Linked DNA regions of Astyanax mexicanus. The protein of the gene in region 2 binds, or shares a complex with, the protein of the main gene of each other region. Links are inferred from orthologs where the notes say so. Each region holds a gene or a part of one and is shown on either strand. Other genes may lie near its edges. The genes, in order: mcm4, gins4 and gins1.

Region 1 (4,793 bases), on a different chromosome or scaffold from region 2:
ACACACACAAACACACACAAACACACACAAACACACACACACACACACACACACACACACAAACACACACACACAAACACACACAAACACACACACACAAACACACACAAACACACACACACACACACACACACACACACACACACACACACACACACACACACACACACACACACAGAGAAACACGTAAAGAGGCAGTAGAGACTGTTCTTCTTTTCTACAAATAACCTGGATTATCCAGCTCAGATTAAGAAGCTACATGTACACAATATTACTGAATTAAGTTGAACTTTTCAACATGCGACTCCAGCACTCTGCTCACCTCGTCCAGTTTCTGCAAGTAAAGCGGCTCATTAAGATCCAGACTTGCGTTCTCATCCTCCCGGGACTCCGGATCAATAAATCGCTGCAGGAAGCGCTGCCAATAAAAATACAAAACACACTTCAGTCACATTTATTCAAACGATTAATACAGAAATCTAGGATTAATGTTGGGTAGCAGAAACAATAAAGGTGATTATACATGTTAGGAGCTGTTTTTAATGCTGTGGCTGATCTGTGTTTGATATGAGTGTGAATTAAGTATTAGGCAAAGTATATAGAGCTTTTTTTTATAGGTTTGATGCTTTTTAAAATGAGAATAATGTGATGTTCTAAGTTACTGAGTTTAAATGTGAGATTTAATAGAGGAAATGAACTGAAGACTGAGAGAGCGAGCAGTGATGTGTCGACAGTTTGGAGAAAAATGAAGAGTGAATGAAAGTAGTGAATGGCTCAGTAGATAAACACACACTCATTAGGAGAAATGTGAAATCTACTAGGAGGTGAAAGTGCGTAGCTACACGCTAAAAACTGAAAAATATTTCCAATATTAGCATTTCTTCTTCGTGTGTCGTGTTATTATATTTTATGATGTTCTACAGAGGAAAGTTCTGCAACAGAAGGTTTGGAAATGTTGTGTGATGCTGCTCTGAGCTCACCTGAAACTTCTCCTTACAGGTTCCCACATTAACATCAGTTCCCCAGATGACGAGTCTCTGACCAGCGGCCTGCTCACTGGCTACAGCAGCTTCTCCAGACGGCTGATAGGAGGAGAAAATTCACACTGATTAACACACACACACACTAATAACTCAATACTAATCAATACAACACTGATCTAAACTAATCGAACTAATCAAATCATAACTCAGACTTTAACACTCACCGTGTCAGAGTTCAGGTCCACTTGCGGAGCCTTTCTGACAGACCCCAGATCAGGTCTCTGTCGAGCCGGCGTTCCTCTGCTCGGTGTGTCGTATATGAGAGGAGAGCTCATATCCACTTCACTCTGAGGAACTGGATCAAACAAAGCATTTAGTACATATTCCTGTTTCTTTCTTTATGCATGCGTCTCATTTCTGCTAGAATTAGACCTTTAAGTATCTAGAATTAACCCCTTAACGCCTGTTGTTGCAAATATGCGACTAACCGTTTGATTCAATCAACCTGCCAAGATAGCGCCTGCATTCCCCCAATGCCTGTTAGTGCACCAACTGCTAAATAACTTTTCTGTGCTCCAGAAAATACCCAAAGCTCTAGCTGAGTACTCTCTCCTGAACCCTGGCGATGGATGGATAGATAGATGTAGTACCGGAGCGTCGGGGCATGGGGCTGGAGAAGAGGGAGGTGTCCTGTACCGCGGGGCTCTGCAGGTCTGTACCCGGGGACGTCGGCATGGGCTGCAGTTCTCCTGTAGACGGCTCACGAGCGCGAGGAGACGGAGACAGGACATCCTCACTACCAGCTAAAATCACACAAACAAATAAAACAATTAAACTATTAAAACAACAGACAAAAGATCAGTGACTCCATATACACAGTGTGAACAGACTGCAGCAGGTGAAGAAATAAAATATAGATCTATGATTAATTCAAATGTTGTCTTTAAGAGTATAATTGCTATATTATGCTCTCCCTTATTATGACATCAGTGGTATTTAAATAGTCATAAAATTATAATATAATTTATAATATAGATAAAATGATTTACAAAATATAATCGTGACAGTACTTGTATTTACCTTCAAATACACGAAGGTTAAAAGTTAACACTCTTCATCATGTTTTATTACAACCTAAGTGCATTTCACACCAGATTTCTCTTGTAAAATAATAAATAAACTGTATTTAAACTCACGGGTTGGAGGATTGCTGCTCCTGCCTCGCTTGCGGGCGCTCGAGGATGGGGAAGACATTTTGAACACTCACTAAAATAAAAACATTTTTACACATAGTTAGTTAATGTTAAATCAGTAAAGTAAGCAAACAAGCAAAGTTTTTTTTTTATTATTTCCACATGAAACAAAGAGCTAAAAAGAGGCATTACAGTCAAATCCAGGTCCGGAAAGTGCAAATCCACTACAGTATTTCGCTCCAGCTGCCAAGATTTGCACTTTTTTTATTTAAAAAAAAATTACTAATTTTAGTATATAACAAACTTCACTAAGTTAGTATTTTTATTCTAAACCGCCCTGGCAGTTGGGGCGAAACACCGGCGCGGATCCAAACTTTTCGGATCTGGATTTGCCACTTCTAGTTGCTAGGTAGATAAAATAGTTTTTTTTTTTAAATAGTGGATTGGTAAAACGAGTTAAAATAATAAAATGGTCGGGAAAGGACAAATCCACTCCGGGATTTCGCTCCAATTCCATAAGCAGTTCATAATGAAAACAGTAACTTAATAAAGTAAAATAGTGAAACAGTGGATTAGTACCGTCAGAGTTTGTACAAATAGTAAATTTAGTCCGGAAAGTGCGAATCCACTCCGGGATTTCGCTATAAATTCATAAGAATTGAAATACTGAAAAAGTAAAACAGTGAAATTGTAAAATAGTTAATAGTAAAAGTGGTTTAAAATAGTAAAATAGTGCGGAAAGTGCAATTCCACTCCTGGATTTCGCTCCAACTGCCTGGGCGGCTCTGCTGCAGCTCAGCTGCAGCAGAGCCGCCCAGGCAGTTGGTGCGAAATCCCGGTGCGGATTCGTACTTTCGGGACCTGGATTTGCCACTACTTGTTGCTGGGCAGATAAAATCAGTAAAATAGTGTATTTTAGATGTTTAAACATAGATAAACATCAACAAAACGTGCGTATTTACATACAGATACATCGTTAACTACATATCAATATTAAAAACACCTTTATTATTATAACAAAACATCAAAATCCAAAGTCTTACTAATTCAACTAACTTTATTTAACGTTTTTAATATTTACTAATTAGTGATTAGTAATTCCAGCTACGTTAATCACAAAATCACACCTTATAATTATAAAGAATCGCTTTAAAACTCTTGTTTTAACTTTTGCTTGTTTTTAAATTATTCGCGTTTTTTAACACAAAAGAAAAAACACGAGGAACTTACCACTGCGGATCCTTCTCTCCAAATACATGCAGAGTGGCGCGAAATCGCTGGCGTGACGTCGTTTTCGCGGGGAAATTCTGACCAATCAAACAGACGTGCAGACTTGGAACGATCCACTCCATATGTACAGAGGGAGGTAGCTAAATAGATATTGTTGTTTTAAATCGATATTAAGTGTTTTTAACAAAGTTACCAACTAAAAATGACTATTTATAAAAGTTTTATACAAAATATACCTTACAAAGTTAAAAAATAAAACTAAAGTTGCGATTTTTAATCAGTGTTATAAACAAAAGCTTTGTTTCACATTGGTTTGATCCACAGTTTTCGCGGCAAATATCGACGACAAAGAAGAGCTACCACGTGACTTAAATAAGGGGTTGTTATTTAACCCTTTATGGTAGGAATTATATATTTTTGAAGGAAAAATACGATTTTTGAAAGCTAGGGAGTCCCTGTGAATATATCAAATATAATCTAAATTATAAACTAATCATTTAAATCAAAAGTTATAGAGCAAGGGAGCATAAAACACTAGTTTTTACAAGAATATAGTAAGAATATAAACAGACAAATATATATATATATTTTTTTTTACATGTTCTTGCACACATATTTTAAAAAAATACTTTTATTAATAACTCACTTGTGCGTCTCATTGTATTGGAAGTAGATAAGCCATGTAACATTGCATTAAAAATAAATAAACACGTTTATAATTATAGAAAAGAAAATAAAGCATTTTTTGCTACAGAAGTCCTTTAAAGCTAGTGATATGGAACTTAAAACATTCAATTAAAGCGATCAAATTGTTGAAATAATGGGAACAGGGCTGTAGAAGCCGAACAATCTACTATTTAAAGGAGCTAGTTTTAATTTTACCTTCATTATGTAAATTAGATGACATTAAGGGGTTAATGTAAACTCTTAACAGGCCTTGGCTCGAAAAAGGGCTACAAGAGTTGGTCATAGAAAATCCTTTTCTGTTCAATGAAAGGTTTGGAGGACATGAAATGTTTGATTTTTCAAGAGTCAAGAGTCTTTTACTGTCATTACATATGAGTCCAGGTACACAGTATAACGAAATTGCGTTTTTTCTGGAACTGTAGTGCAAAATGGAACAATAATACAATAGACAACATAAAGTGCAAAAGTGTAAAAATAGTGCGACATAAAACTATAACACTACAATAAATACAGCAGACGAGACAGTTTAACAGACAGGACAGTGCAGTTATTTTCTTTAGGAATATTTTAGGAATATATTGATTTTTAAATGACTTTTATTATCTTTATTTATTATTCAGCATTTGACAGTTGAACATTTTAAACATTATAAATCAATAAATGACACAAAATTAGTATAAAGTATAAAATAAAAAACAAT
Region 2 (4,793 bases):
AGTAAAGAGCGGATCACCTCCAGCTGCGAACCCCCGAGCAGCGGCCTGGACCGGGGCAGCCCGCCTGGAGAGAGCGGCTCTCACCGCAGTTCGGACGAGGAACCTGGACGCCATTCTGCTGCTGAACGGGATCTGAAGTGAGTCCGACTGAGAGGAAGCTTATCTAAACCAGCTTCCTCTACAGAGAGCGGAGGACTCTCCTGCCCCTGCTGTCAGGAGGACTAATCCACTCATTACAGTTCAGTTCATACACAGGGGTCAAATAACTACAGTACAAATACTTATTTACCTTACTGAAGTAGAAATGTTGATTTTCTATCTATACTTTACTGGAGAAACAAGACCTTTAACTTCTACTTCTTACATTTACACACAATTATCTGTAAGATGTACTTCTTACATTTCTCCACTTCACACTGCAGCAAGGATATACAGCTCTAGAAAAAAATGTGACCACTTCAGTTTCTGAATCAGTTTCTCTGATTTTGCTATTTATAGGTAAAATTTCTGAGTAAAATGAACATTGTTGTTTTATTCTATAAACTACAGACATTTCTCACAAATTCCAAATAAAAATATTCTCATTTAGAGCATTTATTTGCAGAAAATGAGAAATGGTCAAATTAACGAAAAAAGGATACAAAGCTTTCAAACCTCAAATAATGCAAAGAAAATAAATTCATATTCATAAAGATTTAAGAGTTCAGAAAATAAACATTTGGTGGAATAACCCTGGTTTTAATCACAGTTTTCATGCATCTTGGCCTGTTCTCCTCCACAAGTCTTACACACTGCTTTTGGATAACTTTATGCCACTCCTGGTGCAAAAAAATCAAGCAGTTCAGCTTGGTTTAATGGCTTGTGACCATCCGTCTTCCTCTTGATTATATTCCAGAGGTTTTCAATTTGGTAAAATCAAAGAAACTCGTAATTTTTAAGAGGTCTCTTAATTTTTCCAGAGCTGTAGCAGACATATGTAGCCTAGTATAAAGATGTCCATTTACATTGTACTAAATGCATTCATTTTCAATGGGCGCATATGTGGCTGACACAGGGATGGCACTGTAGTGCAATTGTTTTCAACATTTTCAGATTTTAAAGTAACATTATAGTCATTATGTCTTTTAGATTTTTTTTTTTAAGTTGTGCACTACAGGACCCTGTGGCACAGCCTAAGCTTTTGTTCTTACTGAGATCAAATATCCAACCAACCAACCAACCAACTCTTTTTTTGTAAAAAGAGTAAATAATAGTAATTAGTAAATGAATTAGTGAAAAAAAGTAGAACGCAAAGTAGTTGACGCAAAATTAAATTTATTATTTTCATGATTGTATTATCGTTCATTATTGTTCATGTTGTTACAAATATAAGATATAAAATAAGAATTGTTTGCAGAAAAAAAAACTAAATAACAATAGATAGTAAATAAATTAGTTTTATAAAATTGATTTAATGCATTTAGAATGTATTTTTATTGTTTGAATTTTTTTTAATTTCATTATTTAGATTTTGATTTTATTAAATATGTAAATATTGACATAATGATTTAATAACAAATTTTTTTTTTTTTTTTCAATTTGTCATATATCCTGCACATTTTGCTGTTTTATGTACAAACTTTCTAACCTCTGAGCAGGTTTACGCATAACCTCACCATAACAGCATAACCCACTGTTTTGGATATTATACACTGCGCAGATCTACGGAGCATAACCTCCGTGAAGAAATAATGACGACACGGGAAACTCTTGCTGTTTGGCGGGAAATCTTAGTGCGCGCTGTGTGTTGGTGTGTGTTGTTGGTCTGTGTCAGTGAGAGGCTGCTGTTAAACTACTGACTGTGTTTACAGACGCGTTCAGCGCGGTTATCCGCTGGATTTTGCTCTGTGATTGTGTTCATCTTGGTCAGTTAACCCTGTGCTTTAGGAGAAGGACGGTGTTAAAGACTCGTATCTCCGGGTACGTTAGGAACTTTGGGTCATGGCTGATGATGAGTTGTCGGACGCTGGAGATCTGAGCGGAGAAGATGAGAGTCAGGAGGACGTTCTGACTCCAGCTGAACTCATCTCCAGGCTGGAGGAGGTCAGTCGTTTCTTTAACCTTTACTGCAGAAGCTGGCGGCTCTGTTTCACCGTGCAGATCTTTACCTGAGGCTTAGGACTGTCCAGTAGCAGCAGGGTCTCTCAGCTCCTCTGCCTCTAAACAGGCTGCTTGCTCTCTGTACTGGAATAAGGAGACTCTGCTCTGAGAAACAGTCTGCTGCTGTTTAAAGCAGCAGTCCGTAAGATTTATTTATTTTAAATTGACAGCAGTTGTATAACCTACCTGAGTGAAAAGAGGACAAAATATTGTAATAAATGGCGCCAGAATGCCTTCATAAACAAGTCGCATACATTCTAAAACCAGGGTGTTTGGAGTCAATGTAACAGTGATCTGTTATGTGTTTTTAATTAATGATCATGAAATAATTTTTTAAGTTTTTTATTCAGTTTTCTATTTATTTTTTTTTGCATTTTGTAGCAAAAATCTGATGGTTTAATCATACCTACCTTCTTTTTACAAGATGGAAAATTGTATTTTATATTAATTATTTTTTGTGTTTTGTCCCTTGTTACATTTTCCCCCTTACATTAGTTTTACTTTTATACTTTAAATAGTTTTGAAACCAGTACGTTTTAATCTTTTGAGTAAGCAGCAAGGTGTAAAAAAAAGTCAGTGTAACCTTCATGTGTTTTGAATTAATTCTTTTTTTTTTTTTTTTTTTTTTTTTGCCACTAGTGATCAGAAATAAAAATACATCATTTTTTTTATTTTTTTTATTCAGTTTTCTGATTGTACAGTTTTTGCATTTTGTAACAAAAATCTGGTATACTAATGGTATAATGATATCTATTTTCTTTTTACAAGATGAAAAAAATAAATTTCATGAAACTTCCTGTAATTCAGATCATGAGAGACAGAAATGAAAAAAGAAATTAATTGAAAACTAGTTGTTAAGTGGACAAAATTAAATAATGAAATGTATTAATATTTATTAGTAATGAAATCTAATTTACCTTAAAGTTGAACTGATTAACGTTACACTGACCGCTTGTAGGTCCAACTGGGAGTTTTCGGTCCACAAAGAAACAAGCACGCGATTTTACTAGATTGTAGTAGGACATTGCTGTGAGATCAGGATGTTGGATCAACACCCCACCTTATCTTAAACTCACCAACTCAGCACAAAAGCACTGAATGAACCACAGTAATTTATCAGAACACAACAGGCATGGTGCCAATAGGTTTATATGGTGTCCATATTGATCATGTGATTACTTCAGAATCTCACATTTAGTTTTTTAGTTTTAGTTTTTTTTTTTTCTATAGAGTTTATACAAATCATGGGTTAGAAATGAGGGCAGTTTAAAGTAACTGAAATGTAAAGAACTAAGCAGAACATGTGTCTGGATATTTTTGGATATATGGTGATTTTGATTGTTATTATTATTTTTTTTTTTTGTGATTACTTTGTATTAATAAGCTGTTTTTCTGTTTTTCAGGCCTGGCTGAATGAGAAATTCTCCCCAGAGCTTCTGGAGAACAAGTCTGAATTGGTGGAGTGTGTGATGGAGCAGCTCACTCACATGGTAAGGATGGATGATGAATGGGATGTGAAGAAGCAGTATATACGTGTGTGTGTGTTAGCTTTAGGGCTAGAAGTCAGACTGCACTGCAGGGTTTTTGGATTTAATGCTTTCTAGGGCACATTTAGCCTTTTTTTATTCTTCTATCACCTCAGGAGTTCCCTAATATGGAGCTTCAGCATTCTGGTGCATAATCCTCATTTTTATAACACTCATAATCTCTGGTAGAGCTGACTTCAGGTTTCTGCTGTAACTCATCCACTGCTAAAAGTGCCTAATGGTCTTCTGTAAGTGGTATTGCCTAAAGCAGTCATCTGATGTACATTCAGATAAAACCATCAGATAAATAAGGCACCCTGTTTACCTAAATATATAATAAATAAATGAAAGCTATAGGGATTAGATGAATCTTTGTCTCATACCTTGTCTGGAAATTAAATAGTGTTTAGCCTTTATCCAACTTTTTTTTAATGTAAAAAAGGGTAGATACTAGGGTAAACCATTTCATACATGGTAATATAGTTTTTAAAAATTGAAAGAAAAAACACAAATTCTTGTAATAATATTACAATACTTAATACATTACAATACAATAATAATCGTAATACGTATTAGTGGTATTCTGTTTTTAAATTAGTCATTTTTTTATTTGTTTTGCTATTTTCTGTGAGGTTTTTATGGATTATTTTTGTAAATATTTTTATGTTTAGAGTTTATATACATAACCTAAATATTCTGCATGTTAACATTGTGATATATATTTTTGTTACGTGTTGTGATATGTAGTGTTTTGTCATATTACCAAGAATATCTTTATTGCAGAAATACGATATTGTCCACCCCCCAGTGGTACCTCTTTCTCTCTAACAATACTAACAATATACTTGCCTGCACTGTTATGGTTTCCTGAGAGCACTAAAGACATAAAGATTGTAGTTTTTGTTTTAAAATGCCATTGGCAGATTATGCTAAATAGTATCAGCTTATATCAGTATGTTTTCTTTCATAACTTCAGGAGGAGAATCTGCAGCGTGTGAAGAAGGGAGACCTAAAGGCCAGCGTCCACCGCATGGAGATTGACCGCATTCGCTTTGTCCTGAGCAGCTACCTCCGGTCTCGACTGCAAAAGGTAGCGTGGAGAATAGATCGACACACATTTAGCCCTAT
Region 3 (4,793 bases), on a different chromosome or scaffold from region 2:
GAAGCTGTCATGCAAAATCTTTGTATCTCCATGTGGCTGTCTTTCAGTTTATTTTATAACAGACTGATAGAAATGCTCCAAAATACTATGTTCAAATTACAGGTCACGCTGCTTCTCCATTAGCAGCCAGAGCCTAAGTGAGCACAATTAGCCATGCTCTCTCTCCCTTTATCACTCTTAATTTAGCTTAGCTGGCTGGCATCAGTTTTTACTGATTTATCAGAGCTAGGGACCTGGTGCTCTCCTCTGACTGTGTTGGTGGGTAAAAGTGGCCCAAATCCAATATTTAGTATAAGCTGTTCACACAATCTTTAATGTCAGCCATAACTGACATCTGTCAGATTCAAGTTATGCTCCTCTGGTAACAGGTAGAAAAGAGGTGGTGGCTGACTTCACACATATGGGAGGAGCCATATTCTTGCCCTACCCCTGTTAGGGACCAAGGACATTACAAATGAGGATGAAAGTTTATAGTAAGTCAGTGGATTAATTTGGCTAGGCTAAAATATTGTAAAATAAAAAGAAATGTTTTTTTTTTTTTTTCATTATGGAATGAAATCTGAAAAAATTAAACGTAAAGTTTTTTTTTTTTCCATTTCTCGTACAGCTTCTGTTTTGGAGATACTGTTTTTGTGTGATTTGAGTCATGCTACACAACTAGGTGTGTTCAGAGTCTTTGGTGGAGTGTTTGTCCAACCAGCGAAAGAAGAGAAAGTAGTGGTGTTACCCATTACACCATACCATCTCTTGTGGCTGTAAGACATCTTACCTCAATATACAGACTCTTGGGGGGCTTCATGTCTTGTGTTATATCCAGGCCTTCGTCTCCTCCAAGTGACCTCATGTAAGTGGCCAAGGATTTCTTGTACTGATTGAACCACTCCAACTGCAGTTTTAATAATAAAAAATGAAATATGTATTACCTCATTTCCAAATAAGGAAATACTGAATAACTTGGTCTTAAAAGTAAAAAACACACCTCTTCTGCACACATGTGGAAACGAATCGTGGTGGGCAACACACTCCCATACTCCCATCTGAGAGCACGGATTCGAAGGAGGCGATCATAACTGTTAAAGTGGGATAGGGGTGTAAAAGTAATAGTGAAATACTTTGATATTCATTAGATCAAGTAATAAAGTAGAAGAACAGGAAAACAATGCACAAAATATACCTCAAAACAAATATGTAGATATATTTATAAAATTCATATAAATAAATAATAGAAAAGGGGATAGAAATTACTATATGTATTTAATATACACAATAGACAATCTGGAAAACACTGAATAGCCAGTTTGTAACAAAGACATTTGCATGGTTAATATGTAGAGTATAAAATGCAACAAAAAATGCAATTTTGCTAAACTTGTGCAGAACCTTTATTATAATAATGAATATTGAATGTCCTGTGAGCAATGAATGTATATAAATTAAGACTTAGGGCTCTATTTTAGTGAACTATAGTGTATCGGTCAATTGTGGATCGCACAGCTTGATTTTGGATGTTTCGGTGTGTCTTTGGTGTCAAGAAATACTAATTCTTTTGTATTTTTTGTGTCTAACATAAAATAAACCAATCAGTGTGCCAGTCGTCGTTCTCTTCAAGAGCCAGGTGTGCTCTGACTTTGGCACGTTCATATCTTAACAGCACAGCGCTTTTGCCTGTCTCAGCAGAGGAACTGACCTGTATAATAGAGCCCTTAGAGTTACTTGAGTAGTATTAGAGCAGATCCAGGTTACTCACAGGTAGGCTGTGATACATCGCTGGTTCCTCAGCAAGCAGCAGTGACGAAACTTGATGGTTGGGATCAGTTCACTCCTGCCTTCAGTTTTAGCCTCATTACTTTTAAGAGGGTCAAAACAGATATGTTGTTAATCAGATATAACACGAAATGTAATGGGATTGAAGAAAATCACAGATGGCAAAAGGTAAGAAAGTTGGTATCTTACACATCAGTTTGGTTCTGCTCATATAAAGCTTTCATTTCTTCAAGCACCTGCCGAATGTTGTCCTCCTGCAGAGATAAATGCTGGTTATTACTTGTGCACATGTAAGATGGACTTCTGCACCCTTAATACTGTATATTAGAGTGAATGTACGCCTGTCGCAATAATTATTACACAAAAAAAACTACAATAAAATTGTATAACCATTTTAAGACCAACTTATGCCACTGATATAATAACAAAATAGCCTACTAATGCGATATTTCTTTTAAAGAGCAAAGAATGTTGATAATTAAGGATGTTAAGACATTGAACTAAACTGAACAATAAACTAAAATATGAAAAATGTAGTATATGTAGTAAATTTTGTAGGAGTAATAAGTAAAACCAAAAAATAAACATGTTCTAATAAAGTAAACACGTCAGACAATATATTGAGTTCAGCAAAAAATGATTGTAGTCATGACTAATTATTGTACAATAAGTCAATAATGTAATTATTGTGACAGACCTAAGCATAGAGATAAAGGTAGGAACTCAAAGGTAAAAACATGAAGGTGAATCATGTTGGCCTGCCTCTACAATGAGGAGATAACTTCAGAAAGTCCAGTTATTGTATTTTGCTCGTTCCACAATTAAAACCCTTCAGAAAGGAACTAAAATATGCACTAAACAAATGGTTTATTGCCAACCTAAAACCTTCAACTTCCATCTTATTCACCTGTTATTTGAGATTTAGTCATCAGTTTCACCATTTTATTTGTTATAAAAAGACCATGTATCTTCATTTTTTACCTGCTACACTGTCCACAGTGCACAACACAATAACAAAGTATTTTTCTGTTGTTGTAGTTCTTGTCATTTCTTATATTTATTGTATGTACTTATGTAGGTTAGCTACACACTGTGCAATAATATTATCAGACTACTATTATTATTATTTACTAGCTAACCTACTATCTGTGCTGCTTCTGTATCTACAGCTAGCTAAACTATATGGCTCAGCGTACCCGTTTCAGAACCAGTTCACTAACCAAGATTTAATTAAACTGGTTTAGCTTAGCATCTACTTTAGTGACATCAAAAAGCCGCACTGTTTCCTAAATAAAAACATAAATACAGTTATTTCAGCTATCACGTTTATTATAATCACATTAACCCAGGCCTATTCAGTCTGGTTAGTTGAATGGATGCAGGGTATCTATAAATAATAAATATACTCACGTTAAAAGCGGGCAGCTGGCCATCAGTCATCCGGTGAAGCTCTCGAATAAGTTCCACAGCCTTTTCGCAGAACATGATTAAACTGATATATAAAGTAGGACCTTGTAGCTTAGTTAACTAACGCTGTTTAATACAGACTGTATTTAATACAAACTGTATTCATAGACTGTATGTTAGCGTTATATCAGTCTGTGCTTCTCCCGCTGCTCCTCACACACGATTTTCGCGGCAGAATGCGGTGTTTTGATCACGTGACCCTTTCGATAACTACGGAACGCAAAGTGGGACACTCCGTCTGGTCAGAAAATCTAGTAAAAGTAAACGTACGCTTATTCCAATAATACATTAGAAATTAATGAAAAGCCTTATTTTTAATTCTCTAAAGACATGGGGCCCTCCTAGAACATGTGCAAAAAAAGTAGAAGGATGATTTCTGAAGTGTACAGCTATATAGTGTACAGGTATTTTGTGCAGGAAAGTTGATTGGATGGCATTGAATAGTACAGATGAACAATGATCCTAAATATACTGTAAAAACAATCCAAGAGTTTTTTTTTTAAGGTAAAGAAGTGGAATACTCTGCAGTGGCCGAGTCAATCACCAGATCTGAACCTGATCAAGCAACATTAAGTCATTACTTTAGATAAAACTAAAGGCAGAAAGGTTCACAAACCAGCAACAACTGAAGACTGCTAGAGTAAAGGCCTGGCAAAGCACCATAAAGGAAAAAAACAGTGTTTGGTGATGTCAGTGGGTTTCAACCTTTATTCTCAAGAAGGTATTAAAAATTAACATTTTATTTATGGTAAAGTTCATTTGTCCAATAACTTCTGAGCCTCTGACTTTTGTAGAAAAAGGTTATAATTCCTAAAAACTTAATAGGATATTTTTGATCAGCCCCTTAAATTAAACCTGAAACACTTCAATAACACCTCAAGTGTTTCATTTGAAATCCAGTTTAGTGTCACTGTCCAAATATTTAAGGACTAACAGTATGTCTGGAGGCAAATGTTTATCTGATGATCCTGTAACTAAATGCACTATTTTTTATATTTATTAATATGCATGGTTATGGGTATTTATGGACCATTCATTGTTGAGCGAAACATTACAAATACTAACAATACATTTCTGAAGATGAACACTGAATGAACACATTACAAATATAGATATAGTTACAAATATGTTAATATTCACTTTAGAGAACCTTGTGGACATTTTATACAGTTTTATTTGATGTGTTAGTGGGGTTTTGCCATGTCCACAGTGCTGCCAGGATTAGTTGGTATGGGTAATTAACACATTATTTAATTTTTCAAAATTTTCATAAGTATTTGAGGATACTTTGTCAATAATTTAGGCTATTTAGCCTATTTTTAGAAAAAATATTAAACTATTTAAACGAGCATGAGAATGCCCCATAGACTGTATATAAATAAGTATGGACAGCACAACAGGGGTTGAAAAGTGAAGCCACCACGTCTCTTACGCCCTCTGGTGGCTGGTTCCAGTACAGCTTTTAACCCCATCCATTCACCTGTATGAGAGATGGCGGAATCTTTAATCTAAAATTACACATTAATTTTTGGAAGGTTCTGTACATTCTGCAAGCCCCCCTC

The links.
Region 1: gins4 (region 2) and mcm4 share a complex: the UniProt entries of both Homo sapiens proteins name them as parts of the CMG helicase complex. The link is inferred for Astyanax mexicanus from reciprocal best matches to the Homo sapiens genes GINS4 and MCM4.
Region 3: the proteins of gins4 (region 2) and gins1 are in contact, whole or in part, in a crystal structure (PDB 2E9X), measured with the Homo sapiens proteins. The link is inferred for Astyanax mexicanus from reciprocal best matches to the Homo sapiens genes GINS4 and GINS1. Residues at the interface, in NP_115712.1 of Homo sapiens: Met55, Glu59, Glu83, Arg84, Arg86, Tyr87, Leu89, Ser90, Leu93, Arg94, Leu97, Glu101, Phe104, Glu125, Glu126, Phe129, Glu132, Phe133, Asn136, Thr137, Tyr140, Leu141, Val144, Ala145, Leu146, His148, Met149, Pro150, Pro151, Asn152; in NP_066545.3 of Homo sapiens: Phe24, Leu29, Leu33, Met36, Tyr40, Leu69, Leu70, Arg73, Thr76, Val77, Leu80, Tyr81, Leu84, Arg88, Trp92, Glu109, Glu110, Trp113, Asn116, Tyr117, Ser120, Leu121, Tyr124, Ser127, Leu128, Gly129, Gly130, Asp131, Leu134, Ile136.

The regions. Positions count from the first base shown.
Region 1 is NC_064413.1:412,540-417,332, forward strand, and holds the start of mcm4 (DNA replication licensing factor MCM4), read right to left. Parts: upstream 3,498-4,793; 5' UTR 3,407-3,497; intron 2,250-3,406; 5' UTR 2,238-2,249; coding exon 2,180-2,237; intron 1,787-2,179; coding exon 1,634-1,786; intron 1,339-1,633; coding exon 1,208-1,338; intron 1,083-1,207; coding exon 981-1,082; intron 419-980; coding exon 323-418; intron 1-322. UniProt on the Homo sapiens protein: Acts as a component of the MCM2-7 complex (MCM complex) which is the replicative helicase essential for 'once per cell cycle' DNA replication initiation and elongation in eukaryotic cells.
Region 2 is NC_064419.1:27,447,979-27,452,771, reverse strand, and holds the start of gins4 (DNA replication complex GINS protein SLD5), read left to right. Parts: upstream 1-1,757; 5' UTR 1,758-1,980; coding exon 1,981-2,082; intron 2,083-3,542; coding exon 3,543-3,629; intron 3,630-4,641; coding exon 4,642-4,755; intron 4,756-4,793. Other genes in the region: cytochrome c oxidase subunit 5B, mitochondrial, read right to left, coding at 18-114. UniProt on the Homo sapiens protein: Required for correct functioning of the GINS complex, a complex that plays an essential role in the initiation of DNA replication, and progression of DNA replication forks.
Region 3 is NC_064414.1:30,474,481-30,479,273, forward strand, and holds the start of gins1 (DNA replication complex GINS protein PSF1), read right to left. Parts: upstream 3,426-4,793; 5' UTR 3,250-3,425; coding exon 3,175-3,249; intron 2,019-3,174; coding exon 1,954-2,018; intron 1,847-1,953; coding exon 1,748-1,846; intron 1,071-1,747; coding exon 980-1,070; intron 887-979; coding exon 770-886; intron 1-769. UniProt on the Homo sapiens protein: Required for correct functioning of the GINS complex, a complex that plays an essential role in the initiation of DNA replication, and progression of DNA replication forks.